Caenorhabditis elegans: one gene and its partners. The protein of the gene in region 1 purifies or fractionates together with the protein of each later gene. This does not show direct contact. Each region holds a gene or a part of one and is shown in the gene's direction. Other genes may lie near its edges. The genes, in order: mep-1, hda-1 and let-418.

The links.
Region 2: the proteins of mep-1 (region 1) and hda-1 purify together in Caenorhabditis elegans (affinity purification with western blotting, with the first as the bait; 2 studies listed by BioGRID). This does not show direct contact.
Region 3: the proteins of mep-1 (region 1) and let-418 purify together in Caenorhabditis elegans (affinity purification with western blotting, with the first as the bait; 2 studies listed by BioGRID). This does not show direct contact.

The regions. Positions count from the first base shown.
Region 1 is NC_003282.8:11,523,095-11,533,549, forward strand, and holds mep-1 (MOG interacting and ectopic P-granules protein 1), read left to right. Parts: upstream 1-1,547; 5' UTR 1,548-1,548; coding exon 1,549-1,671; intron 1,672-1,717; coding exon 1,718-2,060; intron 2,061-2,108; coding exon 2,109-3,051; intron 3,052-3,095; coding exon 3,096-3,592; intron 3,593-3,646; coding exon 3,647-3,939; intron 3,940-4,010; coding exon 4,011-4,424; 3' UTR 4,425-4,860; downstream 4,861-10,455. Other genes in the region: thum-3 (THUMP domain-containing protein), read left to right, coding at 4,962-5,027, 5,074-5,423, 5,631-5,787, 6,343-6,597, 7,034-7,140, 7,187-7,314, 7,364-7,476; M04B2.7 (uncharacterized protein), read right to left, coding at 7,648-7,737, 7,784-7,918, 8,688-8,783, 8,832-8,941, 9,022-9,214. UniProt on the Caenorhabditis elegans protein: Has a broad role in development, specifically in the genetic pathway SynMuvB that negatively regulates specification of the vulval cell fate. Required for fem-3 3'-UTR-mediated repression in the regulation of the sperm/oocyte switch.
Region 2 is NC_003283.11:14,523,615-14,533,006, forward strand, and holds hda-1 (Histone deacetylase 1), read left to right. Parts: upstream 1-1,774; 5' UTR 1,775-1,793; coding exon 1,794-1,967; intron 1,968-2,013; coding exon 2,014-2,131; intron 2,132-2,176; coding exon 2,177-3,043; intron 3,044-3,136; coding exon 3,137-3,363; 3' UTR 3,364-3,797; downstream 3,798-9,392. Other genes in the region: ril-1 (RNAi-Induced Longevity), read right to left, coding at 1-34, 194-299, 348-497; kcnl-4 (Calmodulin-binding domain-containing protein), read left to right, coding at 7,510-7,585.
Region 3 is NC_003283.11:5,822,751-5,835,415, forward strand, and holds let-418 (Protein let-418), read left to right. Parts: upstream 1-4,082; 5' UTR 4,083-4,110; coding exon 4,111-4,440; intron 4,441-4,509; coding exon 4,510-5,502; intron 5,503-5,550; coding exon 5,551-6,629; intron 6,630-6,680; coding exon 6,681-8,010; intron 8,011-8,081; coding exon 8,082-9,427; intron 9,428-9,478; coding exon 9,479-9,750; intron 9,751-9,804; coding exon 9,805-9,944; 3' UTR 9,945-10,081; downstream 10,082-12,665. Other genes in the region: srh-76 (Serpentine Receptor, class H), read left to right, coding at 11,186-11,409, 11,468-11,613, 11,663-12,169, 12,215-12,387. UniProt on the Caenorhabditis elegans protein: Part of a NuRD (Nucleosome Remodeling and Deacetylase) complex which is implicated in the synMuv B pathway that negatively regulates specification of vulval cell fate.

The DNA.
Region 1 (10,455 bases):
AAACACAAAAATTTCAAATTGAGCGAATGTGTGGCTGAGAACCAACGTTCACTCCCTTGCTATCGAAACTGCACCTGTTGCGATTTCGTGGCGAGACCCGAGGAAATACTCAATTAATAAATACAACGGTGTCAATCCCACATTGACTGATCTTGCAAATATCTTTCTTCATTGTGTCACTTTTTTTCAGAAATGCAGTTTTTCCATTAGTTTATAGTGCCCAGCGAGTAGTATATCCTCAGAAATGTTGATCCTCATGATTATAAGGTCATTATCGTTTCAAAACATGAATAGTCATAACTTTTCTCTCACAAACTTTTCGAATGTATCCTAGAACTGCTGAATCTCACAGAAACCTAAATTACGAAATCAGGTTCTAATTTTTATCAAAAATTTACAAACCTACGAGAATTCGATTTAACTTGAGAATGAAGAAAGACGCCAACTTCAATTGAAATGCACCGAATTTAGTTCAGGTTACTATCATTTGTATTCTAGATGCAAAGGAATTCACACTTCCAGCTGATATAGCGCTGATCCTAACACGATCCTTTCAACATCTTAGATTTTCGTTTAATGTTTAATCGGAATTTATATTTAAGGCCTGTAGAAATTTCCTAGAAAACGCTATAGAAATATTTAGCTGATTCTCAAGTTTTAGGAACGGGCGTCTTCCTGGTAGAAGATAGTTCGCAGCCCATAAAGACAGCACCCGGCCTAACCGACAATGGCGGTTATGAATTTTTAGACCATTTAAGGTTATGATGGCGAGACCACAACAACCCGTCGCCACGCACGTCACGCTCACAAAACACTCATTCATGCGCTCACGGAACGCTCACACACTCATGACATACACACATCATTTCGCCTCACACACCGCGCCGTCGCCATCCGCACCGCCCGGGTGGGACGTGTTCAAACTTTTCGGTTTTCGTAATTAATAGTGAGCCCCGGTTTATTCGCTTTGAGAATCAGTATAATGGATATATCAGATTGTGTAATTAGGTTGCGTGCTTGAACTTTTAAAATTAACTGTTTTAAATTTATCTGCCTTTATCGTTACAGTAAATCATTTTGATGAACTTTTCGGATGAATCATAATGAAGTACGCAGCGCTCTAACAAAATGTGTTTGTAAATTCCAATTGCTACAAGTTGCCCGGCTTATTTTTTGGTGATTGAAGCATGATTCTGTTGACGCTCCCGACGCGGAATACCAGGACGGACCGATGAGAGAGTACTGCCAGTGAAGAGACGCATGCGAGCAGGACGAGTGCTGCTCACCCTTCTTCTCAGCGTCGGCGGCTGCGACCAGCGGCCGAGGAAGGGGAGGAGAGAGGCCGATTTGGCTGCGTACCACGTTTGATACTCAGTCACTTACCACAGCTGGTTCTCTTGTGCGTTCAAATCTGGCTTGCCGCGCGCGCGCATTTTATTCCTACCAGTTTGAATCTCCCACCTCTCCGACTGTAACTGTCCTAATTTGCTTCCTTCTCATCACTCTCTCTTTGCCTATTTCTCACTATCTAGACTCTATTTTTCCAGAATGGTCACCGCCGACGAGACGGTACTCGCCACAACGACCAACACCACTTCCATGTCTGTGGAACCAACGGATCCGAGAAGCGCTGGTGAATCGTCCTCAGATTCGGAGCCAGACACAATTGAGGTGAGGAAAAGTTTTGGGAATTTAAATCTGAATAAAACGTTTTCAGCAGCTGAAGGCAGAACAGCGCGAAGTGATGGCCGACGCGGCGAATGGTTCCGAAGTCAACGGAAATCAAGAGAACGGAAAAGAGGAAGCGGCATCTGCAGACGTGGAAGTGATCGAGATAGATGACACCGAAGAGTCTACGGATCCCTCACCTGATGGATCTGATGAAAACGGTGATGCTGCATCTACATCGGTTCCAATCGAAGAGGAAGCGCGTAAAAAGGATGAGGGGGCTTCCGAAGTGACTGTGGCATCATCTGAGATTGAACAAGACGATGATGGCGATGTTATGGAAATCACTGAGGAGCCGAACGGAAAGTCGGAGGATACTGCCAACGGAACAGGTGTGTTTTATAATTTTACCAAGTTTAATTTTAACTTTCTATTTTCAGTTACTGAGGAGGTGCTAGATGAAGAGGAGCCAGAACCTTCCGTAAACGGAACAACTGAGATCGCTACAGAGAAAGAGCCAGAAGATTCTTCAATGCCTGTCGAACAGAATGGGAAGGGTGTGAAGCGGCCTGTCGAATGCATCGAACTCGACGACGACGATGATGACGAGATTCAGGAAATTTCTACCCCTGCCCCAGCTAAAAAAGCTAAAATTGATGATGTCAAGGCGACAAGCGTTCCAGAAGAGGACAACAATGAGCAGGCGCAGAAGAGATTGCTCGACAAGCTGGAAGAGTATGTGAAGGAGCAGAAGGATCAACCATCCAGCAAAAGCCGAAAAGTTCTGGACACTCTTCTCGGAGCAATCAATGCGCAAGTTCAAAAGGAGCCTCTGTCGGTTCGGAAGCTGATCCTGGACAAAGTTCTCGTTCTCCCAAACACAATATCATTCCCACCAAGTCAAGTTTGCGACTTATTGATTGAGCACGATCCCGAAATGCCTTTGACGAAGGTTATCAACAGGATGTTTGGAGAAGAAAGACCAAAGTTGAGTGATTCCGAGAAACGAGAGAGAGCTCAGCTGAAACAACATAATCCTGTTCCAAATATGACAAAACTGCTCGTGGACATTGGACAGGATCTCGTTCAAGAAGCTACCTATTGTGATATAGTTCACGCGAAGAATCTTCCAGAGGTGCCAAAAAATCTTGAAACCTATAAGCAAGTCGCTGCGCAGTTGAAACCAGTTTGGGAGACATTGAAACGCAAAAATGAGCCGTACAAGTTGAAAATGCATCGATGCGACGTCTGTGGATTCCAGACGGAATCAAAGCTGGTTATGAGCACTCACAAGGAGAATTTGCACTTCACAGGATCCAAATTCCAGTGCACCATGTGTAAAGAGACGGACACGAGTGAGCAAAGAATGAAGGATCACTACTTGTAAGTTTTTTTTTTTTCATCTTTCAATATTCATTTAATTACAGCGAAACTCATCTTGTTATTGCAAAATCGGAAGAGAAGGAGTCCAAGTATCCATGTGCAATCTGCGAAGAAGACTTCAATTTCAAAGGTGTCCGTGAGCAGCATTACAAGCAGTGCAAGAAGGACTACATTCGCATTCGAAACATCATGATGCCGAAGCAAGACGATCATCTCTATATCAACAGATGGCTCTGGGAGAGGCCCCAATTGGATCCCAGCATTCTTCAACAGCAGCAACAAGCTGCTCTTCAGCAAGCTCAACAAAAGAAGCAACAGCAACTTCTGCATCAACAGCAAGCAGCACAAGCTGCAGCCGCTGCGCAACTCTTACGGAAGCAACAATTACAACAGCAACAACAACAGCAACAGGCTCGTCTTCGTGAGCAACAGCAAGCGGCCCAATTCCGGCAAGTGGCTCAACTGCTGCAACAACAATCAGCGCAGGCTCAACGTGCACAGCAGAATCAAGGAAATGTGAATCATAACACTCTGATTGCAGGTAATAGCTAAACATATTTTAAATAAGTATTTTGTATAATTATTTATATTTCAGCAATGCAAGCGTCGTTGCGTAGAGGTGGTCAACAAGGAAATTCGCTGGCAGTTTCTCAACTTCTCCAAAAGCAAATGGCAGCTTTGAAGTCGCAACAAGGAGCTCAACAACTTCAGGCTGCGGTGAACTCCATGAGAAGCCAGAACAGTCAAAAGACGCCAACACACAGAAGTTCGAAACTTGTTACTACGCCGTCTCATGCTACTGTTGGCTCTTCTTCAGCTCCCACGTTTGTATGCGAAATTTGTGATGCGTCAGTGCAGGAAAAGGAGAAGTATCTACAGCATCTTCAGGTAATTTTAAGAAACGTTTCTATTTCAATTTCAAAACCGATTATTAAATATCTTAAACATCACATTTTCAGACTACTCATAAGCAGATGGTTGGAAAAGTGCTGCAGGACATGTCGCAAGGAGCTCCACTGGCATGTTCTCGATGCCGTGACAGATTCTGGACTTATGAAGGGTTGGAGCGGCACTTGGTGATGTCGCATGGTCTCGTCACTGCTGATCTGCTCCTCAAAGCGCAAAAGAAGGAAGACGGAGGTCGATGCAAGACATGCGGCAAGAACTATGCGTTCAACATGCTTCAACACTTGGTAGCTGATCATCAAGTGAAGTTGTGCTCGGCTGAAATCATGTACTCGTGCGATGTGTGCGCGTTCAAATGCTCGAGTTATCAGACTCTGGAAGCCCATCTCACTTCAAATCACCCAAAAGGAGATAAGAAGACATCAACACCAGCAAAAAAAGATGATTGTATTACTCTGGATGATTAATAGGAAAACGAATGGCTTATCCCGTTCTACGAATGAGTGCTGGAAACATTCTTCACAATGATCTCAATTATTTCTCTTATTCTTTACATTCAATCATTTTAAATCACCAGTTCTCCCACTTTCATTGATATACACATTCTATTGCGGGTTCCGGAACCGAAATCAATCAGTACTTTACTTTATTTCCCCAATTTTTCTCTTCATGATATCTGGTTTATTCTCGCATCTTCCCCTACCTTCAAAACTCCCTATTTTTTTTTCAAAACCTAACTACCCCACAATTATCATGTAAAATCAAATTGCAATTCCCCATAAGACAGATCAGTATACACTTTCACTTCATACGTCTGTTGTTCTCCCCCATCTCATACTTTTTTTACCATTTGTCCAGTTAAGATTTTTGGAAGATATCTATCATATAAATATTATCACCTTTACAAACCATTCTTTTTGAAACTATTTTCAGAAATAAGATTCAGATTTTCTCATAATATTTGGAGGAATCTATTTCAACAGATACGAAAGATATTCAGACAAATGACAGACTCCGTTGAAATCTGTGCTGCTGTCATCACCGGTTTTGAAAAAGTTGCAGCAAAAGAGGTAAATCCTGAAAACTAGATAAAATATCTTACTCGAGTTCCTTCAGATTTCAAAATTATTTTCGCCTAAAAAATGCCATCCAGGACGTGGAAATGTAAGATTTTCAATAGATCTGGAACGTGTAAACGAGACTCTGCAACTTCGATCAATCGATAATCTTTATATGGTTTTTTATGAAGAAACAATTGAAAAGCTGTCTGAAATGCAAAAAGAAGATGCATTGAAAACTATTCAATCGCAAATTTCATTTTGTAACTGGAAATTGGCAATTGAAGCTTATCAATTGGCACGTGGAAACGCGATTAACGGAGGAAGTGAAAAGATTTTGAAACAGATTCAACAATTTAAAAAAGATCGAATATATAGTGAAGTTACGGACGATTCACCCAAGTTTAGGTAATTTTTGAAATCAATATCAAAAATCCTTATTAAAATTTTCAAAAAAAATTAAAAATTCGAAATTTTATTGTGGTTTTAAACTGAAAAAATTTGGTACATCTCACAAAAATTACAATTCAAAATTTTAGTTTTGAAATAAAATTTCAATTATTTTTTTTCCTAATAATTTTTATTTTTCAAAAGTTATGATGACTTTTTTTTCAGAGTAACATGCAAACGATGTGGAGAGAAAGAGATTCACAAATTCAGTTCAATGGATGCTGCTTCGAAGTTTGGAGCTGAAATTAATAATGCTTTTGGTTGGAAATGTAGTGTCAAAGAGTTCGATATAGAAGTAGTATTAAGGATTGATCGGAATAATGTAAGATCGGTGTACCTGCAATTTTACAAAATGAGATAGTGTTCTCCCAATCAATGGTGGAATTTTTCGATTTTTTTCAGTGAAAATCGAAAAACGAAAATTTTTGATTTTTCGATTTTCAAAAACCAAAAAAAAAATTCAGAAAATCAACCATAAAATATGATTTTTTTTAAAATCTAATATATTGATATTTAGATAAGAAAAAACATAAAAATTTTCTAAAAAGAGGAATAATGACCAAAATATTAAGATAATTTTTGAAAATCGAAAAAACGATAAAATACATTTTTTAATTTTTCGATATTTGAAAAATCGAAAAATTTTCGCACCCTTGCTCCCAATATCTCTCATTAAAATTTAGGAATTTGCTTTATCTGAAAATAGCTAGCATTTTAGTTGGAAAAAATTTTCAGATAAATCAAATTTTTTAAATACAGTATTCTATCAAGAACTTTTAATGAAAAAAATTGGGAAAATATTCCACGCTGGCTCATTTTGTAGAATTTCTGGTCAGCTGTTTTCTTTGAATTTCTTCTAATTCATTCATATTTTCAGATGACAGTAATGATGGCTCTGAACGAAGAATCTCTATTCAAACGTAATATCTGTGCGTATGGACCAACTACAATGAGATCTACAATGTGTCATTGCATGCTTCAATTAGCTGATATAAAACCAGGAGATATTATTGTCGATGCAATGTGTGGAGGTGGCTCTATTCCGATTGAAGGGGCAATTTCATGGAAAAATTCATTATTTTTGGGTGGAGATAATCATGAGATGGCAATGAGCAGATGTCTACAGAATTGGGTAAGAAAAAACGAAAATTTGAATTACCGCGGGTTCGTCTCGAAACTCCGCCCATTTCCGTGTTTTTATCATTTTCGGCGTAAATTATTCGTTTCGTCTCGCATTTGGCGTTCGGCAATTTTTTGTCGACAAATTCAGCAAATTGCCGATTTGCCGTTTTCCGAACATCAATTTGCCGAAAGTCTTTAGAGGGATAAAACTGTGCCTTTTTAAAACATTTCCTGTTAAAATTGAAATTCCATAATTTCACAAAAAATGTGCAAAACCATAGTTTCCCAAAATTTTTCGGTAGATTGCCGGTTTGCCGATTTGCCGGAAAAATAGTTGTTTTTTTAAATTAGAAGCAAAACGAAGAATTTGTGTCGAAATTATTTCAAAAATGAGTAGATTAGCCACAATTGAAAATTTGCCATTTTTAAATAATAAATATTTTAAGTCGGCGAATTCATCGAGCTCCCGATCAAACTGCGACTTTCTCACTTGGGATGCTACAAATCTTCCACTACGCGATAATTCAATCGATGCACTTGTCACGGATCTACCGTAATCATTTCAACGATTTTTCCACTTAAAAACATTTATATTTCAGATTTGGCAAGAAGATAGGAAGTACCACAGATAACAGGTTACTGTACCCGAGGCTTCTCGCAGAATGGAAACGAGTTTTAAGGAAAGGTGGACGATTAGTCTTGATGACTCATGATAAACGGAGTTTAGGTATTGTGAAAAAACTTTAAAAACCAGAATAATTATTTAATATTTGTAGAAAACTCATTCCTAAAAGATCGGTCTTCATGGCAAACTGACGCGTCTCATGTTGTCAACGTTGGTGGATTATCATGTCTTTGTATCTGCATGATAAATAGAAAATCTGATTAGATTTCAAATTTTTAACATGCTTGTTTTGTTTATAAAATTCAATGAATAAATCAAAAATTCATTGGCTGGTTTCACATAAAAGGCACAAAATTTAAAAGTGAACATGATCAAATAGAAGACACCGGTTTGAAAAGAGAAATGGCGAAGATGGATGAGAGGAATCACGAAAATCTAAACTCGATGAATGAAGTGCAATGATTTTTTATTGTTATTATTATTGATTTTTTCGATTGTTGGTAGTTGAGCAAAATGAAATAATACCTATAAAAAATTGTTCAAATATATTTTTATTTGATTTAATACTTACTTCACTTGCATTCACTGCTTTCAGTACATCACTGTTACATCGAACTGATTTTGCTTTCGGTGGAATTGGTTGAAAGAATATTGAACTTTGAGTGGGAACGCAAACTGCACGAGTTATTCGATCACATTCGGATTTCTGAAAAAAAAAATGTTTTCATACAAATAATTTTTATCTGAAACTGAGGTAGCTACCTCATGTTGTCAACGTTGGTGGATTATCATCCACCGACTTCCTCTAGAGCCTGAAGCACTAATTTTGAATTCAATCCGTCACTTTCAAATTTATTTAAATTTTTAGGCATTTATTTAAATTTTTAGGCAATTTGGGTCAAACTGTCTAATCTTTCGTAAAAATCAAAAATGAGCGGTGCAAATCTCTTGTCAGTAAATCTACAAATCTGACTTTCAAACTACAGAATTAAGAGACATTTGAGACAAATTTTATTAGAAATTATGTGTCATTTCGTTAGAAAGCATTTAAAAGCCATGAAATACAATTTAAAACAAAATGTTTTTTTTTAAAATTTCTATTGTAGTTTTGCCAATTTCTGAAACGCAGTTTTAAAGGCGCATGGATTTATTCAGATGGGTCTCGCCGCGAGAACAAGTTTCTGATAGCGGGTTACGGTCTCTTTTTTACTTAGCTTTTATCTTCTGTAACATAGTGAACAAAATACTGGAGCGGGCACTAAAATTAACTAAAAAGTGCTACCATGTACTTTTTCTCACGGCGAGACCCACTCGAACAAAACTGTGGGCCTTTAAGAACGTGTTTCATAAAATTACAAATTCATGATATTGAGTTTTCATCTTAATAGTTGGAATATCTTATTGAAATTTGCAGTTTTGTAGCTTTTCTGAGAGAGCCTACCGCCCACCTCCTTAAAATACCAAAAAATCAATACCTCTACATCTTTGCAATGTTGTATTAGATAAGGTTTTCCAGAAGCTAAACATGGCGATGATTCTACAATTTCATAAAATGCATTTAATTCGGCTAGCTGAAAATTTGGAATATAAATACAAGATACAACTACAGTAATCCTTACTTGTTTTTTATTATGTTTCCACCTTCGAAATCTATAGACACAGAATATAGTTGTTATCAATAATCCAACTAATATGACAGGAAGCAATGCAATAAGGGAATAATCTGAAACTGAATTCAATTATATAAATTATAGTTTTAATTTAAAAAAAAGTGGTTTTCTTTGCGTCTCTGTATCTCTCTTACAGTACCTGAAACCACGTGAAGCCGACCATCGTTGACAACGAAATCGCGATGCGATGATTGAAATTTTCGAACGTCGAAAAAGTCCATCAGTGTAATTCGACGATTTGTAGAGTTTGAATGATGGGAAGTAGAATTGGAAGAGGACAGAAGAGATGATACTGTCGGCTCATCGCCCTCTTCCGGTTGACCGTTGACTTTCTACAGAAATTTCAGAATAAGAGGTCGGGAAGAGGATTTGTGGTAAGTTTTGAACAATTGATATAAGAGTTTTAGAAGTAATTAAAAGTGTCTAACTTCAGAACTATATCAGATTTTCAGTCAGAAGTTTTATGGCGAATATAAAAGTTTAAGTATTGTTGCATTCTTGAAACAAAAACTATATTTAAAAATGGAATATCACCAGTTTAATCCTAAAACGATTAACTTATCAAAAATGCTTAGAATTTCTTCATTTACAGCCAAAAAGTGAAAGTTATATTACTCCACCATTCAATAATTATAATCAAAATATAAAGATTTGGACAATTTACCAAACAATTTTGACTGAAAGTTTCAAAAATATCAAAACAATTCTAAAGTGTTTTGTTTTTGACATATTTCAAGTATGGTTTTGCAGACCTTTTTAAATTTACAACGGCTCTAAATTATCGTAATTTTGTGAAAACGAGAAACATCAGCTTAAAAGTACACAAGTATTTTCTAAGTGGGCTTCACCACCATCTTCGAAATTCAGATTACGTACATACATAGTCACATACTCAACTCCAAACTAAAAAAACTAAATTACCTCACTACGTTTCCTCGGAATATTCCGATTCATTTTAGTTGAAGCAGGTGAGAAATCAAAAGAAATAATAATTATTTTTTCAGAATGTGTCCATTTTGGTTTCAGTCTCTTTATGTTTGAAAAAGAAGAGAAAATGCACCTAGGGACACGGAAAGATATCATATTTCTAACCAAATAGGACCACAGAAAACCAAAAGAAGGAGGTCGCTTTGTATGAAATTGGAGTGAAAAAATGCTCTATGGAATATAAGTTTTTAAAACAGGTGTTGTCAATTTTGATTTGTTTGGAAGAAAAAAACCATTAAATAATATCGAATAAAAATTTTGGATTTTACGAATTGGTAAAACTGCAACCCGCAAATACTCAAAGCTGCTCAGTACCAAACGTAGGAGAACTAATCAGCTTAAAATGAAATGTCATAAGCAAATGGCATAAGTCGTGTAAATTAACTTTCTATCCATGTAAAACCAATACAATAAAATTGGAAATATAATTTTAAAATTTTAAGATCACTTGTTTATTTAGTTAAAAATTTCAACAATTAGATGAACCAAAGATGCGAAAAAGCATTAAAACCATTATATGGGCGGAGTCTGTTGAATTTATGTAGAAATAGAAATGTCTTTTTTTTCAATGGCAAGCTATTAAAAA
Region 2 (9,392 bases), on another chromosome or scaffold:
CCTTTGGAGTATTGAACCATGTGGCGTGGCTTGACTGCAATAATTAAAATAAAAATCAGTTGAATTCGTCAATTTATTTTCAGGAAAACTTAAAATAAACTACAAAAATTTTTAATGCAACATCGTGCCAGACGAAGTTGCCAGACTAAAATCAGGAAATATACTATTTTTTTTAAGTAAATCATCAACTCACTTGGCAGGGCGAATTTGTAGACTCCGTAGAGAATGACTCCTGAGTAAATGTAGAAACGGAAGATTGGGAGGTACTTCCAGCAATGGCGCCAGGACCACATTCTCAACTGAAATTGTCATTATTTATTTTCTTCATACTTTCCGGGAAATCTTACGTATTCTTGAGCGGTCCATGGCCGGGCTGGCATGCGTGGATGAAGGTCTGTGGCCGGGATTGGAGCATTTGGAGAAGCAACGACGACGGCGGCTCCTTTGACTGTCTCGGCAGTCCACTTTGCTGCCTCAAAGAGCTTTCCTACGACCATAGTTGATTACCTACAAAACTAAAAATGATTATGTAGTTAAGCTTTATTTGAATATTGATATTTTTAAGCTAAAAAAAAAGATAATTGACATAATTCAACATCGTGAGAGCGTGGGGAAAAATTGAACGTGAATTGCAAGAAATAAACAAAATAACTTATATTTATCAATATTTTACATCGAAAAAAAACTCAAAAAGAGCAATTTTTAGCTTAAAAATAAAAAATTGGGAAGCCAAAAACTGACGGCGGTTTTCGTCCCGCCCCTTTTTGCAAGATTGTGCGTGCTCGCGGTTGTGTGCAAACACGCCGCACACACTTACGACGCTGCGTTTTTTGTCTGCCTCCTGTTCTCGTTCAAAACTGTTTCACCGTTCACCTCGTTTTTCTCTCACTTTTCTGTTTTTCTTATTGTTTTCTACTAGAATTATATCTATATTTGTTCAAAATATAATAAAAAGACGACGCTTGAAGTGTTTCGAATAGTTATTTTCACTGAGCTGCACCTGTCTAATAGACCCACCGTTCAAGGAAGAAAATATCGATTTGTAGGCACTGAATAATATTTTTTAAACATTTTTCGATTCAAAATAAAAATACTTCCAGCAATGGCGCCAGGAAATTCATTGGAGAACTCACTCTCAAATATTAATCTCAATTTCGTAAAATGCTATTATCAAAAAATATCAATAGCACAGGCCACGTGGCTTTTGTTTTTTATTTAAGCTCCTCCCACAACTTTATTTCCGAAGTGAATTTAAAAATTAAACTAAAGGTCAATCATGGGAGGAGCCTAAATAAAAAAGAAATAAAAATCAAAAGCCATGTGGCCTGTGCGATTGATATTTTTTGATAATAGATTGTGGCTGGCTAGTTTAGATTCCTGTAGAAATTGTGCCAAGAAAATTTAAATAATTTCAAGACAAGGCCCAAAAGACAGTATATCATATTGTCAGAATTTTTTATTCCTTGGCACTGGCGAAATTTTCCAGTGCTCTAAATTATTCCAAAAAACCACAGCCACCTGTTTAAGTATATGTCTTTGAAAATTATATTCCTTCAAAGTTTTTACAAAACCTCAATTCTTATATTTTTCCGCTTCAATGATCTTGCCGAATTCAGTTTATTGATCAAAATGTGTTATAGTAATGAGCGTTTTCACGTCGCGTTTATATCGATTACCAAAAATTAGCCAAAAACTCGATCAATACTGCATAACCTGTCTTACACCTTCTCCTTCTCTTCATTTTATTTTTCTTCGAGCAATCTTGTTATTTCAGTCTACTGCGACCATCAAACATGAACTCAAACGGCCCGTTGATGGAGCACGGTAAGCGCCGTGTCGCCTACTACTATGACTCCAACATTGGAAATTACTATTATGGTCAAGGGCACGTCATGAAGCCACATCGTATCAGAATGACCCATCATCTCGTTCTCAACTATGGTCTGTACCGGAATTTAGAGATTTTCGTAAGTAATATTTCTTCATTGAAATATTGTAAACGTTTAATTTTAGCGCCCATTCCCTGCATCATTCGAAGACATGACTCGTTTTCACAGCGACGAGTACATGACGTTTTTGAAGAGTGCGAATCCAGATAATCTGAAATCCTTCAACAAACAAATGCTTAAGTGTAAGTTATATTCTTTTTAAAACTAAATGTATTGTCTCATTTCAGTCAATGTTGGAGAAGATTGTCCTCTCTTTGATGGTCTTTATGAGTTCTGCCAACTCAGTTCGGGAGGTTCTCTGGCTGCTGCCACTAAATTGAACAAGCAGAAGGTGGACATTGCTATCAATTGGATGGGAGGCCTCCATCACGCCAAGAAAAGCGAGGCGTCCGGATTCTGTTACACCAATGACATCGTTCTCGGTATTCTCGAGCTTCTCAAGTACCACAAGCGAGTACTTTACGTCGATATTGATGTTCATCACGGAGATGGAGTAGAGGAGGCGTTCTATACGACTGATCGAGTAATGACAGTGTCATTCCATAAATATGGAGATTTCTTCCCAGGAACCGGAGACCTGAAAGATATAGGAGCTGGAAAAGGAAAGCTCTATTCAGTCAATGTTCCACTTCGCGATGGAATCACCGACGTCTCTTACCAGAGTATTTTTAAACCAATCATGACAAAGGTTATGGAGAGATTTGATCCCTGTGCTGTTGTTCTTCAATGTGGAGCTGATTCTCTCAACGGAGATAGACTTGGACCATTCAATCTGACCTTGAAAGGCCACGGAGAATGTGCTCGTTTCTTCCGAAGCTACAACGTTCCACTTATGATGGTCGGTGGAGGTGGATACACTCCAAGAAATGTGGCACGTTGTTGGACGTACGAAACCTCGATTGCCGTCGATAAGGAAGTTCCAAATGAGTTGCCATACAATGACTACTTCGAATACTTTGGACCAAACTACCGACTTCACATCGAGTCGTCGAATGCAGCAAATGAAAATAGCTCCGATATGCTGGCTAAATTGCAAACTGACGTCATCGCCAATCTCGAGCAGCTCACTTTTGTTCCAAGTGTTCAAATGAGACGTACGTTTTGAACGAATTTTTGTTCACTTTTTAGAATCTGTCAGAAAATTATTAGATGTTTGTTGAACACTTCATAATTATTCCATTTTTCAGCGATCCCAGAAGACGCCCTCTCTGCATTGAATGATGACTCATTGATCGCCGACCAAGCTAATCCCGACAAACGACTACCACCACAAATTACCGATGGAATGATTCAAGACGATGGAGACTTCTACGATGGTGAGCGTGAGGGAGATGATCGAAGAAACGAGAGCGATGCGAAGAGAGCAGCTCAGTTTGAGTCGGAAGGTGGTGAAAAGCGTCAGAAGACAGAGTAAAACACTAAAATGTGCCGCCGTCGAATTCAGTATCTCCTCTGAAAATAATATTCAATCACTGTACACCACTTTTTCCTTGTCAAATGAGTATTACTTTTTGATTTTCCTTAAATCTAATTTAATTTTCCGCCCAAATCCCAACTGTTTTATTTATTTTTCAAATTCAAGCACTTTTATTTGGAAGATCTCTTCACTTTTCCCCATTAATCCTTTTTTATCTCAGTATCCTTTACCCGTTTTGCACTTCCTCAACATCCTTACTCCTCACATCCACATCTAATCTACCCCCTTCAACGATTTCCATTTCTCTTGTCGTCCCACACTCCCCATTTTACTGGCACACAATTCCAATTCCACAGTCAGATCCTGAACACTTTTTTGTATTTTGGTGAATTTCTTCGTTTTTATTTATTTAATAAAATTGACTCGATTGGAACCGGCGCAACGTCTATCTTCAATTCGGAAATTGGAAAAATCGAATTTGTCACATTGGAATTCGAATGGAAGAAGACTAAAGTTTTTGCAGTTGACATCGTTTATGTCGTCAGTTTCAGCTGCTTCATAATTATTGTCTGGAAGCGAGCAATTATAACACGAATTATGATGACTACGCATGTGGTCTCATATTACAGAATAAATTCTCATTTCTATTTTCAATTGTATTCCTTGTCTGTCTTCATCTGATGTTGGATGGTGTGCTCCAAAACGGAGACCAACAAAAATTGCATCATAAAAATCCACTTATCCAAATTTTAGCCCCACCTGGGAATGGAATCGAATCGGCTCTCCGAGCACTCCTTTCACACAGAGACGGAGAGAGAAATTAGCTTTTTACTGGGTTCTTGTTGTTGAAAATGCAAAAAAGATGAAAACATGTTTCGATTCTTTCTTTGTTTTTCTTTTTTCTTTCCACTCATTCATACTTTTCATTGTTTGTCGTTCATTTTTCAAGTCTAAAATTCAGAAATATCGAAAAAAAAGGATATTCAATTTCGCAACGTAACCGATTTCCGGTTAGATATCAGCTTGAGCAGAAGGGGAGGTGCATGAAGAATAAAAGAAGAAGGAAGGGAGAAGCTCAATTTCAGTTGATGAACATTCGTTTTTTAGTTTTATGTGTCTTGTCCTCCATTGAACTTAACTCTTTAAAAATGGATTACCGGTTTTTGAACATCTCTTTTTCAGTTTATTAATCGCAACGTCACACGTAAAGCCGCAAGGGTTTATTCGGATGGGTCTCGCCACGAGGAAAAAGTTTAAGTGTACAGTTTAGAATGTACATCAAAAAGTTATACTTCAAACTTTTCTCGCAGCGAGACCCATATGATTAATTCTGTGCACCTTTAAGTTTCAGAAAACAGCGAAAGATAAATGAGATGACATGAGAAGTGTACTATTCTCTTTTTTTTTAATTTGGCAGCTGAAAATACCAAGAGAACGGAGTTCGTGGCGAGACCCATTGAGAAAATTGTACGTAATCTTCTGTACACTCACGAATTTACTATAAAATTTAAGAAAATATTATTTAAAGTTTTCTAGATGATTATTGAATCTATTTGAGATTTTCTGTTAGCCACAATTTGGCATAATTTTCAATGGATTCAAAGAATTTTCGTTAAATTTTTTTTCTAAATTTGAAATACTTTGAAATTCTTTAAAAAATCAAGTGAAGTGGTTTAATAAAAAGACTGAAAATATATTTAAAAAGGTTTTTGTCTCTTCGGGTACAATTTCAGATAGAAATTGACGAATTGAGATACAAAGCTTTTAAAGTTTACTGAAATCGTATTATTACAAAATGAACGCATATTAATTTTTCCAGAACAATTTTTTGTCGACAAAATGTAGGAAATGTGAGATCCGTGTAATAACGGAAATAGAGCTGGCAAGCCCAAGTTTTGAGAATCTCGTTTTAAAAAAGACCGTTACACTTTTTACCAATAAACCATATTATCACTTCAAGACGGTTTTTTACAGACTTTTAGGCATGTTGTGATATATATTTTAAACTATAGTTTAATCCATAGGAAAAATTCTGAAGCTTTTCGGACTTTTTTCTTTAAAAAAATTAGTGAACATTGAACACGGCTCTGGAATAAACCAAATTTCTTTATACTACTCGTCTTACTATTAGTTAGACAGTTTTCACATCTATAACAAGAATGATATTTTAACCAGAATTTCTTGAATATCCCAAGAAAAAGTCTTATTCTATGGTATTTTGCTATCTTCTCAAATTTCAAAGATCTTGAAAGTAAGTCGTTTGTTTTCTTTCACATTGTGGTCTAAAATTAAATGAAGTAAATATCTATGTACATCTGCGTCCATTCAATTTCCCACTTAAAACAGAAATAAATGTAGTGCCCTTGTTAATGAGCAAAAGTTGACCTTCATTGATGGAGTTGAGAATATCTGGAATCAATTATTTTCATTATTGACTTCCCCCTTTGTCTACTTCCTCGTTATTGAAATACTTATATTTCTAATTGGAACACTTGAATTTAGAGTCATAAACTTTTGAACATGATCTTTTTCTCGTTGAGTTATCTACCATTTTCCTCGTAAAACAACGATCGATAAAATCCAATAAAATCATCACTTTAATCTCGGATACCGGAAATTCGAATAAAATTGAAAATTGATCATGTGCTCCTCCAAATAATCATGTCGTTATGTTTCACCAACGCTTATTTTCCTCTCTTTTTTGAATATGAATAGTGTTTCTATGGTTTGAATGAATGATGTCATTTTGAATGGCACACTTGCCTTGCTTTCCATTATTTAACAATAGGCAAGTTCAGCCAATAATGTGGTAAATGTATTAAGTAAAGCTATGAATGAACCAAAAAGGTAAAGACGTGCATTTACTTTTTGGATTTGCGCAAACCTTCAAGAAATACACTAAAATGACTGTACTGACCTGAAGTTTTAAAGAATATTTATCTGAAAAGTTCAATTTGGAATTTTTCCATTTCACTTACTATTAGTTCATTATAGTTCAAAAGTAATGTTTTTAGTTTAAAGAAAGCCTGAAAAATATAAAAATTTGGTTATACTCCTTTCATATAGCTGATTTATTTTTATATATCCACAACTAAATTATATCAGTAGTTGGACTTTTATATTTACCTACTTGAACCCGAAAAAATTATTTATTTTTTAAAATTGTCTCAAAGTTATTTTCAACAGTAGAGCGTGTCTTCCAATAAACACAACATACACTTTGTTTGTGCTCATTAAAAAAATTAAAATATAACTTAAAAACATTAACTGCCACATTTATAGAAATGTTCAGTTAGAGATAGAAATTTTTAATCAAGCTCCCAATATTTAAATTCAAAATAGTACGAACTAGAAAGTTTTAGAATAATTTTGGTAAAAGCCTATTAATTTTTTGAAACCTATGTCTTCTGGAAAACCCCGTGGAATTTTGTAGCTTAACCATAAAAACATTTTTTTGCAAAATTTGAAACACACATAAATTTTTTTTTTGCGAATGCTACTGAGAAAACCCCAAATAATTTTTTCCTAAAATTTTAACATCTTGCAAGATTCCAACTTTTCCTGTTTATCTGCAAGTTTGTAACTTGTTCATTTCCGTGTTGTTACACATTGCCACCAACTTATCAGTCAACATTTTTGCTGTGAGCAGTATATGGTGATATCAGAATTCGTTCCCACAAGTCAACGAGTATTTTTTTTTCTTTCTCGCAATTCTAGCTATTTGCACAAAAACAAGACTCTTACCTAATCCCTCAACTTTTCATGTTCTATGTGCTCATTTTACCCACAATTTCTCTTCTCTTTCCAGAGAAAATTTTTGCGTCGGAAAAAAAAGAAAAAATCGTTCAGGTTTTATTGGATTCTGTTCAATTTTTTTTGGGAACTGATATTTTCAATTAATAAATTGCCACTGTTTTCATTCACAATTCATGCATTTCTGACAATATTGCAGGTACCAGAATGTACCCGCCCTATTCTTTTATTTTTTCCATTATTCTCGAGTGCGCCGCCGGTCCATCGTCGGGGTGAAGTAAATCCATTTCGCGCCACTACTCAAAAATGCATTTTTTGAGTGCTCACTCTTTTTGGACACTTTTATTCTTTTTTCTTCGTATTGGCAATAAGAATTAATTCAGGAACAAGATGGCGGCAGTACGTGCTGGAGCTGTTGGCCTGTCGAAACAGGCAAGATTCACAATGTATTCGTCTACAAGGCCAGGTTAGTGAAGATGTTGGGAAAAAAGTAGTCAGAAAGTTATGAAACAGGGGTATTCGGTATGCTTTTCTCGGTACATACTTGTAGACTATACCTCTATAGATCCTAATTCTCATGATACCTACAAAATAATTATAAACTCAATAATCTTTAGTGAGAAAAAGTAAATTCTGGTGATTCTTGAAGAACTTGGTTTCACAAAAAAATAAATCTAGAAGCACGCAAAATGTATGTAACTGTCTGCTTTTTTTGTTCGACTAGACTTTTTAGAATCCCTGGAGAAAAATTTTGAAATGTCAAGTACTTGACGTTACTTGAACTTGTTGATCATTAATTTAAAAATACATATGTCCTCAGAATTAAAATCAGAATCATTTCCCAATCCTCAACATATATGTATACTTCTCAAAGATTATTCATTTGTTTTTTTGATCTAGGATATAGTTTTTTTGAAGTGAGTGTGTTGAAGTGAAGATTTTTTAAGGAAATCTGTAAGAAATCAGCTCATATCCTCAATCAGATTACATCTATACAATAACAGTAGATGTTTAAAAAGGATTTAGAAAATAAATCTCTAAACATCGGGAGTTTGAACACCTAGAATTATCAAAATAATGACACATTTGTTTCAACCATTTATTACTATTGTAAACAGATAAGATAAACCAACTCCCGAGCCGAAGAACTTTTTGAACTGTTCAGTTCTAGTTTTTGAATGAAAGTAATTTTCGATTAGTTTTAATCATGTTTATCTTGAGACTAATTAGTATGGACTCAACATCCTAAAATGACAAAAAATCGGATAACTAGTAAGTTTGATTTTTACGTTCCGGGAATTTTTTGCAGTATGTCTAGCAAATTCATCAGGTATAATTTTCATAGTTTGCTATAGACTTTATAAAATATATTAGAACTTGAATAAAATTGACTTTAAAAGTTGATAAAATTTGAAAGCATAAAAAAGTTTACGTATTCAAAACTCTTTACTCAAATGTGGCCCAGGCTCACTGGTATGAATAATACACGAAAAAAATCCATCGGGAATTAATTTCAAAGTATTTTTTGTTTTTATCAGACTTGACTGCGGTCAAACTACTGTAACAACCGTATTCTATACTTTTCTCTTTAAGTTGTTATATTTTTTTGTTAAAATTTTTCAAACCTATCAGTCAACCTACATATACATAAATCTGAAGTAAAGGCATTAAAAACCAGTATCACGCAACAAAAAATTCCAAAAATACCTTTTTTCTCCCACTAACTTCCTCTTTTCAAATCCTCTTCTTCCTCCCTTACATCACTTTTTCATAAAAGGCACCTGATCTGTTTGGAAATTGAAAATCCAGCTCAACCCGGTTGAGTCGTTTTCATCCAGCTGCAAATGTCTGGTGTCTCTTCATCTCTCACGCTATTTTCATATTCGTCTGTTCCTAACACACTCACACACACACAACTTGATATCAATGATTATATATCCGCAAAAAAGGAGAAAGACAGGCGACTCGAGCGCTTTTTGCTCACGCACACACACCTCTCTCTATCAATTTTTAGTTCCATTCTCTTTCAGTTCCATTTAATCGAAATAATCTTTACTTCCTCCCCCAATTGCTTTTCCAATTCTTTTTCCCTTATAAGACATCGGATCACACAGATTCTTGTGTGTCATTATTTGTCCAGTTGGAATTGAAATCTAGTAGAGCCCGGTGGGAACCTCCTGATGAGAAGTCTATTGTCCTCCTGTCGTCAATGAGAAGCACTTCGAAGAAGAAAAAGAAGAAAAAGTGACAGAAGAATATGGAATTGCAAGAGA
Region 3 (12,665 bases), on another chromosome or scaffold:
TTTACCGTCATATTTTTTTTGATAGCAAAATTGAAGATGTTCATTACTTCCTGTTTACCTAGATATTAAAAATATGGTTGAACAATTTTTCGTTAGGTTCGTTGATATTTTCCGTCTTACTATATTCAAAGCTATGTATAACTCACTGGTTATCCGATTACTCCCATTTCAAATTATCTTCTACTCTTGCAAAAGCGGGTTAGAAAAGGTAAACACCATGAAAAAAAACGAACATCCGTCATTGAAGACTAGGAGAAAAAATAAACAAGTTTGGGTGTTTTCTTCATATTTCTTCAATTAGTCACTTATATCTTCCGGGTACTGTATCCTTCCCATCAACCAGACAAAAGAGGATTCCCCCGAAACGTGAAGAAAGTGATATTATTGCGAAACTCGATGATAAGAAGTTTAGTGCGAGGGGGTAGCTAGAGAAAGCATGATAAAACTAATTGAAAATGTGTTTTGTGGTTAGTGAACGAAAGCTACTGTCAGTGATGATGATATGTGAGAATTTTGTGACCGCTGAACTTGGACATCTGTGACGGAAATTGTGGTGAGATATGAATTGAGAGAAAAAAGATATAAACTACGTTATATGACACAAAAAACGAAAATTGAGGAATTTAGACCACGTTTTTTGGTCAGAGGGATCGAACTACATATTCAATTTATATTAGTTTTGTACCCCACTACTTCACTTTGAAAGGCTCTATCTCGGTTCATTTCAAAGATACCAATAAATAATAAACTACAATACGATAGAAAAGACGTTGCAAATATTTTTTCAATTGACAATTTTTTAATAGGACAAACGACTACAGAGATATAATCTGTTAGAGTTGAACCACTACTAGATACAATCCGGTAGTTCCGTTCCATGGGTAAGTGGTTTATTGAGTTCTGAGAAAATTAACTTTTCTTAAGTTTTTTGAAAACGTACAGCTATGTTTGAAAACAATGTACAACAATTTGTCAGTAAAACACTACAGATTCAGGAAAACTGCAAGAAATTTTTAATTTTTTTTGCAATATTTTTACAACACAAAAATATAATATTTCAAAATTAACAAGAAAACATTCAGAACGTATTCGAATAAATTTTTATTTTAAAACTAGTTGTACACCTGTCGTTCGTATAGCTGATTTTTTAATTCGCACTGTAAAATTCTACTGGTTTTAAATGAAACTAGAATAATCACGATCGTATTTTTTCAAGTGTTTTTTTCCATGCGCAGATGAGCTCCATACGAAGAATTTCTAATATTTCACAGTTGGGCTACATTTCATGTTTTCATAATTTGAAATCCATACATTATTTTCAGCTATTTAGTTAGGTGGCTTAGAGTACAATTTTGTAAAATTTACCAATCTGAAAGACCATTGTTCCTATGAAAATAGCAATTGATTTAAAGTAAACTCACCAGACAAGCTTTCCAAAAGTGACTAGGTGCATAAATAGAAAAAAACGACTGAAAGCTATATCGCACATATGGGCTACTCTAGACTTTATAGTATTTGATAGCACTCCAGAAAATTGCTTAGTTCATCGTTTAGCCATTAAACCTACAAACTGGTAGCCAAACTATTATTCTACCATATATTTGATTTAACGTTTATAGTATAATGCGGTTTAGATTATTAACATTTTTGGCAAGATTGGAAGATTTCCTTACGTTCGAGAAATCAAATTTTGCAAGATCAAAAGCATATTAAATAGTAATTTTCAAAAAAAAAATGCCACACAATCTATCTCAAAAGGACATTCAACACTTCTCTGACCGCTCATTGACTTCTCATTTGAAAATTCACGTAATTTGTAATTTTTCGTTTAAACCAAACTCCATGAAACTGCTCTCTTATTCAATATCAAAACAAAAACGCGCCTTTCTCTGATAATCTGATATGAAATCAGGGGGGTGTCGTTGAAACGCTTATCACGGAGACATTAGAACAAAAAAAAAAGAAACCGAAAAATGAGGGGTACTGTAATATGTTATGGTTTTGTTGTTTTGTTATCTTCCATAATTCCATGAGACAAAGGGTGGAGAGGTTCACGTGAATCCCAGCATCTCGGATTATCTGGTTTCCGGCAGTTGAACTTTTGAAAAAAAATAACTGAATCAAAAGTTTATGTTTACTTATTGACTGGACATTTTTGGGTTGGAGATACATTAAAATTTGACAACTTTGAGTAAAAAACGATGACACATGCCTGAAAATGATGTTGGTTATATTTCCTTTGTACAATTTGTTTTTGGGAACTTGGGGATCTTGCTTTAAAATATTCAGAATTAGTCGATTTCTGTAAAAGCCAAATTACCAAATTTGTGGTAAGTTGACAGATATATCATTTTAAAGTTTGGACATTTGAGTACTCTATTATGTCAACACAAAATTCTGAGAATGCGTATTTCACAACATATTTGAAAGTATCTCATAGCGAAAACTACAGTAACACTTTAACTGATTACTGTAGCTCTTATGGCGATTTACGGGCTCTATTTCAAATGCCTTGTGCAATACGCATTCTCAAAATTCTGTGTTCCCGTAATATCACTGTTTTCGAACATTATTTTCCAAATTACACTTTTACAATTTTGTAGAAAATCTAGCAGTTTGAGAAATTTTTTCAGAAGTTAAGATATAATTTCTAGAAGCTTATAATAGGGCGAATCTAAAGCGTTATACTGTTAATTCGAAATATTAAATGTTATTCAATCATTTAAAATTGCCACGTTTTCAGAAGGTCAAGGTAAATTTGTTTATCCTTGATTTAAACATTATGAACATTTTATTTCTTTTAAATTATTTTTAACTCGCATAAACACGTGTTTTGAACTTCTAGATCTTTTTCTTCACTGCCGTGCATCGATTTGAATCATTTTCCGCTTTTGCGCTTTCAAGGGAGGTCCATTTATGCGAATGGGTCTCGCCGCGCTAAGTGCATTGATTTTAAAATGTTGTGTGTGCGTCTTAACGTTTACTGTCCCGTTCTTTTTTTTTTAGCTTTTTCCCTGTTTTCTAAGGTTTTCCTAGTTTCTGAAAAGAATTTGTATATCTTTGTATAAGAATTTGTATATACATGCTGATTCAATTAAAAATTAGTAAAGTTCCGAAGAAGAAACCTATTTTCGGGAGCTATGCAGGTGCGCTCCATTGCCAGCAGATGCGTTTTGTTCAAATGTTTTCTTTTTCATTTTTTTTTGGCTCGCTTTTTGGATTCGCGTTTCCTCTCAATTTCCGCAATTTGATATTTCTAAGTATACAAGTATATTTCTAAAATCGTCATAAATATTTGCTCGTAATTTTCCCAATTTTAATTCAAAATTTTAATTCTATCAGGACGGTTCACAGTTTTTACCTGATTTGAATCCTGAAATAGATCTAATTTACTAGTTTTTTTTTTAATCCGTAATCCAACGTGTTTTTAATTTTCTGTGAACAACATAATTCTCAACTCAAATTAGTAAAGGGACATGCCACGTATTAATAATTTTCGTTGCGGGAAACACGACGCTGCATTTGGTCACTCTTACGCGCGAAGACGGGTCATTCGAATTTCCATCACTCTCCTCTCGTCTCTCTTTCTCTGACCACCGTCCCAACGAGCTGTGTCCCCGTTCTGCAATGTCCCCGCAGTGTCTCGTCAAATGGGACATATGGGGACATGAAATTGTCCCGTTTCGAATCAATATTTGTTTGAAATATGTTTTTGAATACGGCTATTTTTTCTAACTTTTCTTGTAATAATTGCATTTTCTCGATGGTAGATTTTAGAAAACTTGAAACGTAGGTTGTAAAATAAATTTTAAAAAATTTAAAATAGCTTGACGAGCTTAAATTTAAATTCCTACTTTAGGAATTTAATATTTTCAAAATTTTCTACGTTTTTTAGAAAAAATTAAGGCTTAATCTATCAGCCCAAAATTTACACTCAACTCTGTGTGTTATTTCGTCGCCGTGTTTGCAGACTTTTCACACTTTCAAATTTTGCTGATTTGCATTCGAGCTTTCTAATTTGTTCTCTTTATAATGTCCTTCTTGCAATTATTTATGTCTTACTTATATTAATCAATTTTCAGAAATTGTATTTCTCCTGAGAATTCAACAATGTCAACTGAAGAAGATCCGTCTTTAGTGGACGCGGAAGAATCAATGGAAGAGGGTTCTGTCACTCAAGACGCAACTGAAGAAACAGAAGAAGAGGAAGAACAAGAGCAAGGCGATGAGGCTGGACCATCTGAGCGAAAGCGTTCTTCTAGAAAGAAAGGCGGAAAGGGAGGCAAAAAAGGATCCAAAAAGAGTGCTGCCGCAGCTAGCAAGGTTGAGATTCCTGATCCGTATAATTCGACAAGTGAAGAAGTTTGTGCTGCTATCGGATTGACAGACGTCGAATTTGATTATGATGAAGAGGAGTTTCAAGGAATTTCTAATCTGAAGGTGATTATTCAAAATTTATTTTTTAAATCTCGATTTCTGTTTTCCTCCAATTAAACATCTTTTTTACAGACTTTCTCCTCAATCATCAAGCCACAAATACTGGAGGCAAACCCCGGAACCAACGTATCCAAGATGTACCCGATGTTCCAAGTCAAATATAAAGAGTATCAAGATCACATGGCTGCCCAAGGAAAACCTGTTCAAAAACAAGCTAGAGGTTCAAAGACTCCAGCAGTTTCCACACCCGTCATCCCTCCACGATCAGCTCCAACGAAGACTCGTTCTGCAAGGAGAAAGCGTCGAGATTCCGATGCTCCTGATAGTGATCAAGAGTTTGAGGCATTTATTAAGCAACAAGAACAACTGGAGGACGATTTGGTAAAAGACAAGGAAGATGCTCGTATCAAACGTGCAGCGGAAAGAGAAGAGAAGAAAAAAGGAGCATTGGAAGCTGCTCGTGCCGCTAAAAAAGCAAAATTAGAAAAGGGCGAAGAAGCTGAAAATAATGACTACTGTGAGGAGTGCAAGCAAGATGGAGAACTTCTTCTTTGTGACACCTGTCCCCGCGCTTACCATACAGTCTGTATTGATGAAAATATGGAAGAACCACCAGAGGGTGATTGGAGTTGTGCTCATTGTATCGAACATGGCCCAGAAGTAGTTAAAGAAGAACCGGCGAAGCAAAACGATGAATTCTGCAAGATCTGCAAAGAAACTGAGAATCTTCTGCTTTGTGATAGTTGTGTATGCTCATTCCACGCATATTGTATTGATCCTCCACTTACCGAAGTTCCGAAAGAAGAAACATGGTCGTGCCCACGGTGCGAGACGGTTAAGCCGGAACACAAAATCGAAAAAATCCTTTGCTGGAGATGGAAGGAAATCCCGTATCCAGAACCTCTCGAAGCTGGGAAAGAGGCTTCGAGTGACGATGCGATGCTCAAACCACCACGGAAAATGGAACCAAGACGTGAGCGTGAATTCTTCGTGAAATGGAAGTATTTATCATACTGGCAGTGTTCTTGGGTCTCCGAAATGCTGTTGGAAGTTCATTTCCGTATGGTGAGTTTTAAGTGATGAAGTCCATTTGACTAATGTTTATTTTTCCAGCTTATATTGCTATATTGGCGCAAAAATGATTCCGATGCTCCTCCAGAATTTGAAGAATCCGTTACGTCTCGTCATCATTCTGATAATGATCCTTATAAATTGCGCGAGCGGTTCTACCAGTATGGTATCAAACCGGAATGGATGCAAATTCATCGTATTATCAATCATCAATCATATGCAAAGTCGCAGCAGGATTACCTTGTTAAGTGGAAGGAGCTCAGCTATGATCAAGCCACTTGGGAACGAGATGATTCTAATATTGCCAATTACGAAGAAGCAATCATTAAATACTGGCAACATCGTGAGAGCAAATTAAATGAGGATATTCCTAAAAATGTGCAGAAGATGATTGCTAAACATCGCGAAGCTAAAGGTCTTCCTCCAAAAGAAGACGAAAAGAAAAAGAAGAAGCGTGAGAAGATTGACATCCGTAAAAAATATGAAGTTCAGCCCGACTACGTTACGGAAACCGGAGGAAAACTTCATCCATATCAACTGGAAGGACTTAACTGGCTTCGTCATTGTTGGTCCAACGGAACTGATGCGATTCTCGCTGATGAAATGGGTCTTGGGAAGACTGTTCAATCGCTTACTTTCTTATACAGTCTCATGAAGGAAGGCCATTGCAAAGGACCATTTTTGATTGCCGCTCCTCTATCAACTATTATCAATTGGGAGCGTGAGGCTGAACAATGGTGTCCTGATTTCTATGTGGTCACTTATGTTGGTCTTAGAGATGCTCGTGTTGTGCTCCGAGAACATGAGTTTTCTTTCGTTGAAGGTGCCGTTCGATCCGGACCGAAGGCTTCAAAAATGAAGACGACAGAGAATATGAAGTTCCACGTGTTGCTCACTTCTTATGAGACTATCAATATGGATAAAACTATACTTTCTTCCATTGAATGGGGAGCTCTTGTTGTTGATGAGGCTCATCGGTTAAAGAATAATCAGTCGTTGTTCTTCAAAAATCTCAATGAATATACTATTCATTATCGCGTACTTCTCACCGGAACTCCACTTCAAAACAATTTAGAAGAGCTCTTCCATCTCCTCAATTTCTTGTCCAAAGAACGTTTCAAGTAAGTTTCTGAATTTTTGTGTATTTTATTTTATTAATTGCATTTTTTCAGTCAGCTCGAGGCTTTCACTGCCGAATTCAATGAGATTTCCAAAGAGGATCAAATTGAAAAACTTCATAACTTGCTCGGACCTCACATGCTTCGCCGTCTCAAAGCTGATGTGTTGACTGGCATGCCATCGAAATCAGAATTAATTGTTCGAGTTGAACTGAGTGCTATGCAGAAAAAATGGTATAAAAATATTCTGACTCGCAATTTTGATGCATTGAATGTGAAGAATGGAGGAACTCAAATGTCATTGATGAACGTCCTTATGGAATTGAAGAAATGTTGTAATCATCCATATCTTTTTGTGAAGGCAGAGTTGGAGGCTCCGAAAGAGAAAAACGGAATGTATGAAGGAACGGCGCTCATCAAGAATTCCGGAAAGTTTGTTCTTCTTCAAAAAATGTTGAGAAAGCTGAAGGATGGTGGCCACCGAGTGCTTATCTTCTCACAAATGACAAGGATGCTGGACATAATGGAAGATTTATGTGAATATGAAGGATACAGATATGAAAGAATAGATGGAAGTATCATGGGACAAATGAGACAAGATGCTATCGATCGTTACAATGCTCCTGGAGCTCAACAATTTATTTTCTTGCTCTCCACTCGAGCTGGAGGTCTTGGTATCAATCTGGCAACTGCTGATACGGTTATCATATATGATTCTGATTGGAATCCTCACAATGATATTCAAGCTTTCTCTCGTGCACATCGTCTCGGACAGAAGCATAAAGTTATGATTTATCGTTTTGTAACAAAGAAATCTGTCGAAGAAAAAATCACTTCAGTTGCCAAGAAGAAGATGCTTTTGAATCACTTGGTTGTACGTGCAGGATTGGGAGGAAAAGAAGGAAAGACAATGAGCAAGACTGAGCTGGACGATGTGCTTCGATGGGGAACCGAAGAGTTATTCAGTGAGGATCTTGATGCTGCCGAAGGCGAAGGCTCGGAGAAGAAAGGTGCTGCCGCACAAGAAATTGTTTGGGATGATGCAGCTGTAGATGCTCTTCTCGATCGCAGTAACAAAGAAGAGACTCCAGCAGGAGAAGATGGCGAAGAAAAAGCTGAATGGCAAAACGAATATCTAAGCTCGTTCAAGGTGGCCAGCTATCAGACAAAAGAGACTGAAGGACAAGAAGAAGAGGAGGAAGAGGAAACGGAAGTGATTAAAGAAGATGAGAAAGAACCAGATCCAGATTATTGGGAGAAGCTGCTCAAGCATCACTACGAACAGGACAGGGAAATCGAATTGCAAAAGCTTGGAAAGGGAAAACGTGTTCGCAAACAAATCAACTATGCCAGTGAGAATATGGGAACTGATTGGAGCAAGCAGGTTTGTTTTTTTTCTGATTAATTGGGTTTTTCTGATTAATTTCTGATTAAACATTTAATGATTTTTTTCAGAACCAAACCCAAGATGATGACGATGATAACGAGTCGTACCGTGGTTCGGACAATGGCGACGGCCTGAACTCTGATGAAGATGATTACGATGAGAAGAAAAAGCGGCGTCGTGATGAAGAAAAAATGCCTCCACTCATGGCTAAAGTCAATGGACAAGTTGAGATTCTTGGTTTCAATCCACGTCAACGCAAGGCGTTCTACGGGGCTGTTATGCGCTGGGGAATGCCTCCACAAGATTCTCATCAATCTCAATGGCTTGTTCGAGATCTGAGAAACAAATCGGAAAAAGTCTTCCGAGCTTATGCTTCACTGTTCATGCGACATCTCTGTGAGCCTGGAGCTGATGGTCATGATACCTTTAATGATGGAGTTCCAAGAGAAGGTCTTAATCGTCAGCATGTTCTTGGCCGAATCGGATTGCTGAGTTTAGTTCGGCGGAAGGTTCAAGAATTTGAGCAATATAATGGCCAATGGTCTATGCCTGAAATACAAGACGAAGTTCTCGCTAAAGCTGCCAATGGTTCGGCACAAGGATCTTCAAGAAGTACTCCGAAACCAAAAGAAGAGCCGAAGGAAGAACCAATGGAAAAGGAAGATGCTACTGAAACAGTTAACGGAGCTACATCAGAGCCAGCTACAGATGCTGAGAGTGAACAAAACGCTCCTGTTGACGAACCAATGGATACAGATGAAGCCAAAGAACCGAAAGAAGAACCAATTGAAACCGAGAAACCAAGAGCAGCCCGTCCATCATTCAAGTTCAACATTTGTGACGGTGGATTCACTGAACTTCACTCTTTGTGGGCCAATGAAGAGAAAGTTGCAAGAAACGGAAAAGAATATGAAATCTGGTACCGCAGACACGACTATTGGCTTTTAGCTGGTGTTGTTGTACACGGATATGGACGTTTCCAAGCTAATTTCAATGACATCATCAATGATCCCAGATTCTCAGTTCTCAATGAGCCATTCAAGGAAGTTGGCGCTGAGGCAACAGGATCTGACATCAAAGCCAAGTTTATGCAACGTCGTTTCAAACTTATTGAACAGTCCCTTGTGATTGAGGAGCAACTTCGTCGCGCTGCACACGCCAATCGTCACTTGCAGCCGGATAATGTTGGACCATTGGCTCAACGTTTTGCGGATTTAGAGAATATTGCTGAATCTCAAGCTAATATCGCCAAAGAAAGTTCTGCTGGAAATCGTAATGCGAATGCCGTTCTACACAAAACATTGGTTCAGCTCGACGAAATACTTTCCGATATGAAGGCCGACGTGTCTAGACTTCCATCTACTTTTACACAGTTAGCGACTGTCACCGAACGTCTCAACATGACCGAGAGACAGTAAGTTTTAACTCGTAAAAGCTTCAGTCAATATATGTATATATATTTCAGAATTCTTTCGCGACTGACCACAAAAGACGAGGACGCGATAGCCAACCGTAGCGTACTTCCACCACCAGGACCATTTGTAACTCCAATACTTCGCCAGCAGATGGATGGCATTCAACCAAAGTTTGCAGCTCTTTACAGTAAATTCATGTCTGAAAATGGAGAAAGGATGGAAGAGGATGAACCAGTAGAGGCAGAAGAGGAAGAAGGTGTAAAACAAGAACCAGATGATGAGACTCAAGATAGCGCCGAAGCTCCGCCAGTTCTTAGTGCAGGTTAGTACTAATTCATATGGATCTTAAAATAACTCAATGTATTTCTATTTCCAGAAGTGAATTCCGACGATAGCAACGATGTTCCATCTACTTCCGCTGCTGCTGCTGTCAGTTCTGAAACAGCTGCCGACGCCGAACCAGCTTCCGCCGAAGATCAAGCTCCAACAGATGAGCCAGAACCAATGGAAACTTGAATGTCTTTTTAATTTTATTGGGTTTTACTGTATTTTTTCAAACTTTAAACCATTATATTATTTATTGTTCTCTTTTTAGTTGCATCAATTGAAATGCAATTCAAATAATTGCGTCATGAATCTGTGTAAACGTTTAATCCTGATCTTTTCGTCTTAACTTGTTCACATGAATCTAAGCAGCCTCGCCATCAACACGTTGACCGTTCTATGATAACCCAGTCATTCTCTATCTCGCCTCGCTTCCTCTTTGCCCATTCCCCTTGACGAATAGGGTAATTAATCAATTGCACCGCGCAGAAGACACAGGGTTCCGGCGTGGGCGACAGTCAAAAAAGGAAGTGTGGAATGTGTGTGAAGATATCAAATATTTGTGACGTTCTCTGTTGTCTTGACAGGAAGAGAGAAGCGTTAACTATTTCATATTCCGATGACGTATTTGTTTGATGTTGTCGATGAAATTTACAGTTACATCATCGAAACGGTTATCCTTCAAAGGTCATCTGGAAATTTTGAAATTAGAAAACAAGTTGATTTTTACATCATTGGTTTCGTAGCCATAGATCACCGATCATAAATGAAATATCATCAATTTCATGATTTTTTTCATATGGTTTAGACTTTGGAGAGGGACCAAACGCTACTAAATACTTGGAACTTTATTAACATTGTATTATAATATTCAGAAATTTGCACTTTTCGCGTCAATGAATACGGTAACTGGTCTCGATGGGACAATTTTTTGTTCTGAAAAAAAGATTGAGCCTTTAATGACTACTGTAATGATTTCCAACTCTCGTTGCTATTGATGTCGCTTTTGTTCAATAAAAAATAAATTTATTCAATAAAAAATTAAAGGAATCATATACGAAAAAATCATAGCCTTCTGCGATTATCGAAATTTGTCGTGTTGAGATCGGGTACCGTATGTTTGGCTGAAAAATCTGATTCCTCGCGGCTAAACCTGTCTGAAAAATTCCATGCTACGTTAGGTAGACGTTTCATTTTCAGATAACAGCGAAAATGCAGAATCTATGACATTGTCAAATTGCGCGTGTTCAGAGACTTGCTGAAACATAGACCCGAAAAAAGTTCACAACAGAATGAAGTCATCTTGTAACTGATTACCTCATATTCAGGCGTGGCTGGACTCAATGATATAGACGAAAATATTGGAAATCGTAAATGCATGACTGGTCATTCAAACTAGAACCCGATGCAGCAAAACATTAGACATTATTCCGATGTCGGCACAAAGCAGACTCGATGAATACTTCAAAAAGAATTACTACACTGTATGCGAAAAATCGACAAGTTTCATGAGTTCAACAGATTTTATTGTCTATCCTCTTCAACTTTCCACAATTCTGAATATTCCTTTATTTGTTCTAGCAGGGTACTGTATATTACAGAAAACACCGAAATCAATAGGTTCTACTAAATGGGCATATTTCAATATGCACATTTGGTAAGCTGCATTTAAATTATATCATGAATTTAAATGCGCTTCAATTCTCTGTTTTCAGGATGTGCTTACAAAGTTTATTAACAAGTACGTTACTAACACCTATCACGTGGCTGCCAACAATCGGATCATCTATGATGGGTCTATTTTCATATATTGGAGTGCCAGAAACTGTGCAGTTTTATTTATTTGTAATTGTAATGTTTGGTAAGTTATCAAAAGTTCTACCAATAATTAGAAAATACTCTGTTCACAGTTACTATGTCGTCAGTAGTGTCACCTTTTGAAAATCGACATAACGCAATTCAACACAATACACTTCGAATTTCAACATCCTGGGTTCGATACTTGGTTACTAGTGCCAACTATTTGGTTTCTTTCAGTTTTCCGATTCCATTTTTGTTTAATATCCCAAACCAGGAATCAGCAAAACTCCTCATTTTACAAAATGTACCTTGTCCACAAGAGGAATTCTTCACTTTGAGTGTTTTCTCAATATCTACAGATGCTAACTTTAGATTGATATACATGGTTTCAATGCTCATATTTCTATGTTCTACATTCGTTCAACTTTTATTTTATGCATTCACTTGCTTACGATATCTTGTCTTTTCAAAATCAAGTAGCTTTTCAAAAAGAACAATCGAACTGCAGAAAAAGTTTTTTATTGGAATTCTCATTCAAGTTCTTGTTCCATATGCATTCATAGTGCCTTCAGTGTCATATTGCTGCTATTCGGTTTATTCGAATTATTATAATCAAAGTTGTTTAAAGTTGTTCAAAATTTCAAAATTGTTCAAAGTTTCAGTGCTCAACAACTTTTTCGTTTTGGTTTTCAACTTCTATGGAACGGTATCAACAATAGGACTTATATCTTGTCATACAGCGTATTGGAAGTTTGCGAGAAAATTGATAATGTTTAAGTCGAGAACAGATTTGGCGAGTAATATTTCGGTGTCAAGAAACAATCAAATACAATAGGAGTAAAAAAATTACCTTTAATCACCAATGAAAATTTGCAATGTCATTTTTTTGAAAAGCCAATGTGCGCTTCTGCGTTTTCAAACTTTTGCCCATGTAACATGTAACGTATGACAATATGTGTATTTAAAAAATTATTTTAAAAAGAAGAAAAAAGATTTCTGATAGTCTAAACTTTTTGGAAAAATTTCCTAATTTTAAATACAATTTATCCAGTGTTTGTCAGATTATTTTGAGGCTTCCAAAAACTTTTCTTTGCGCCACTACTCAACTTTCAA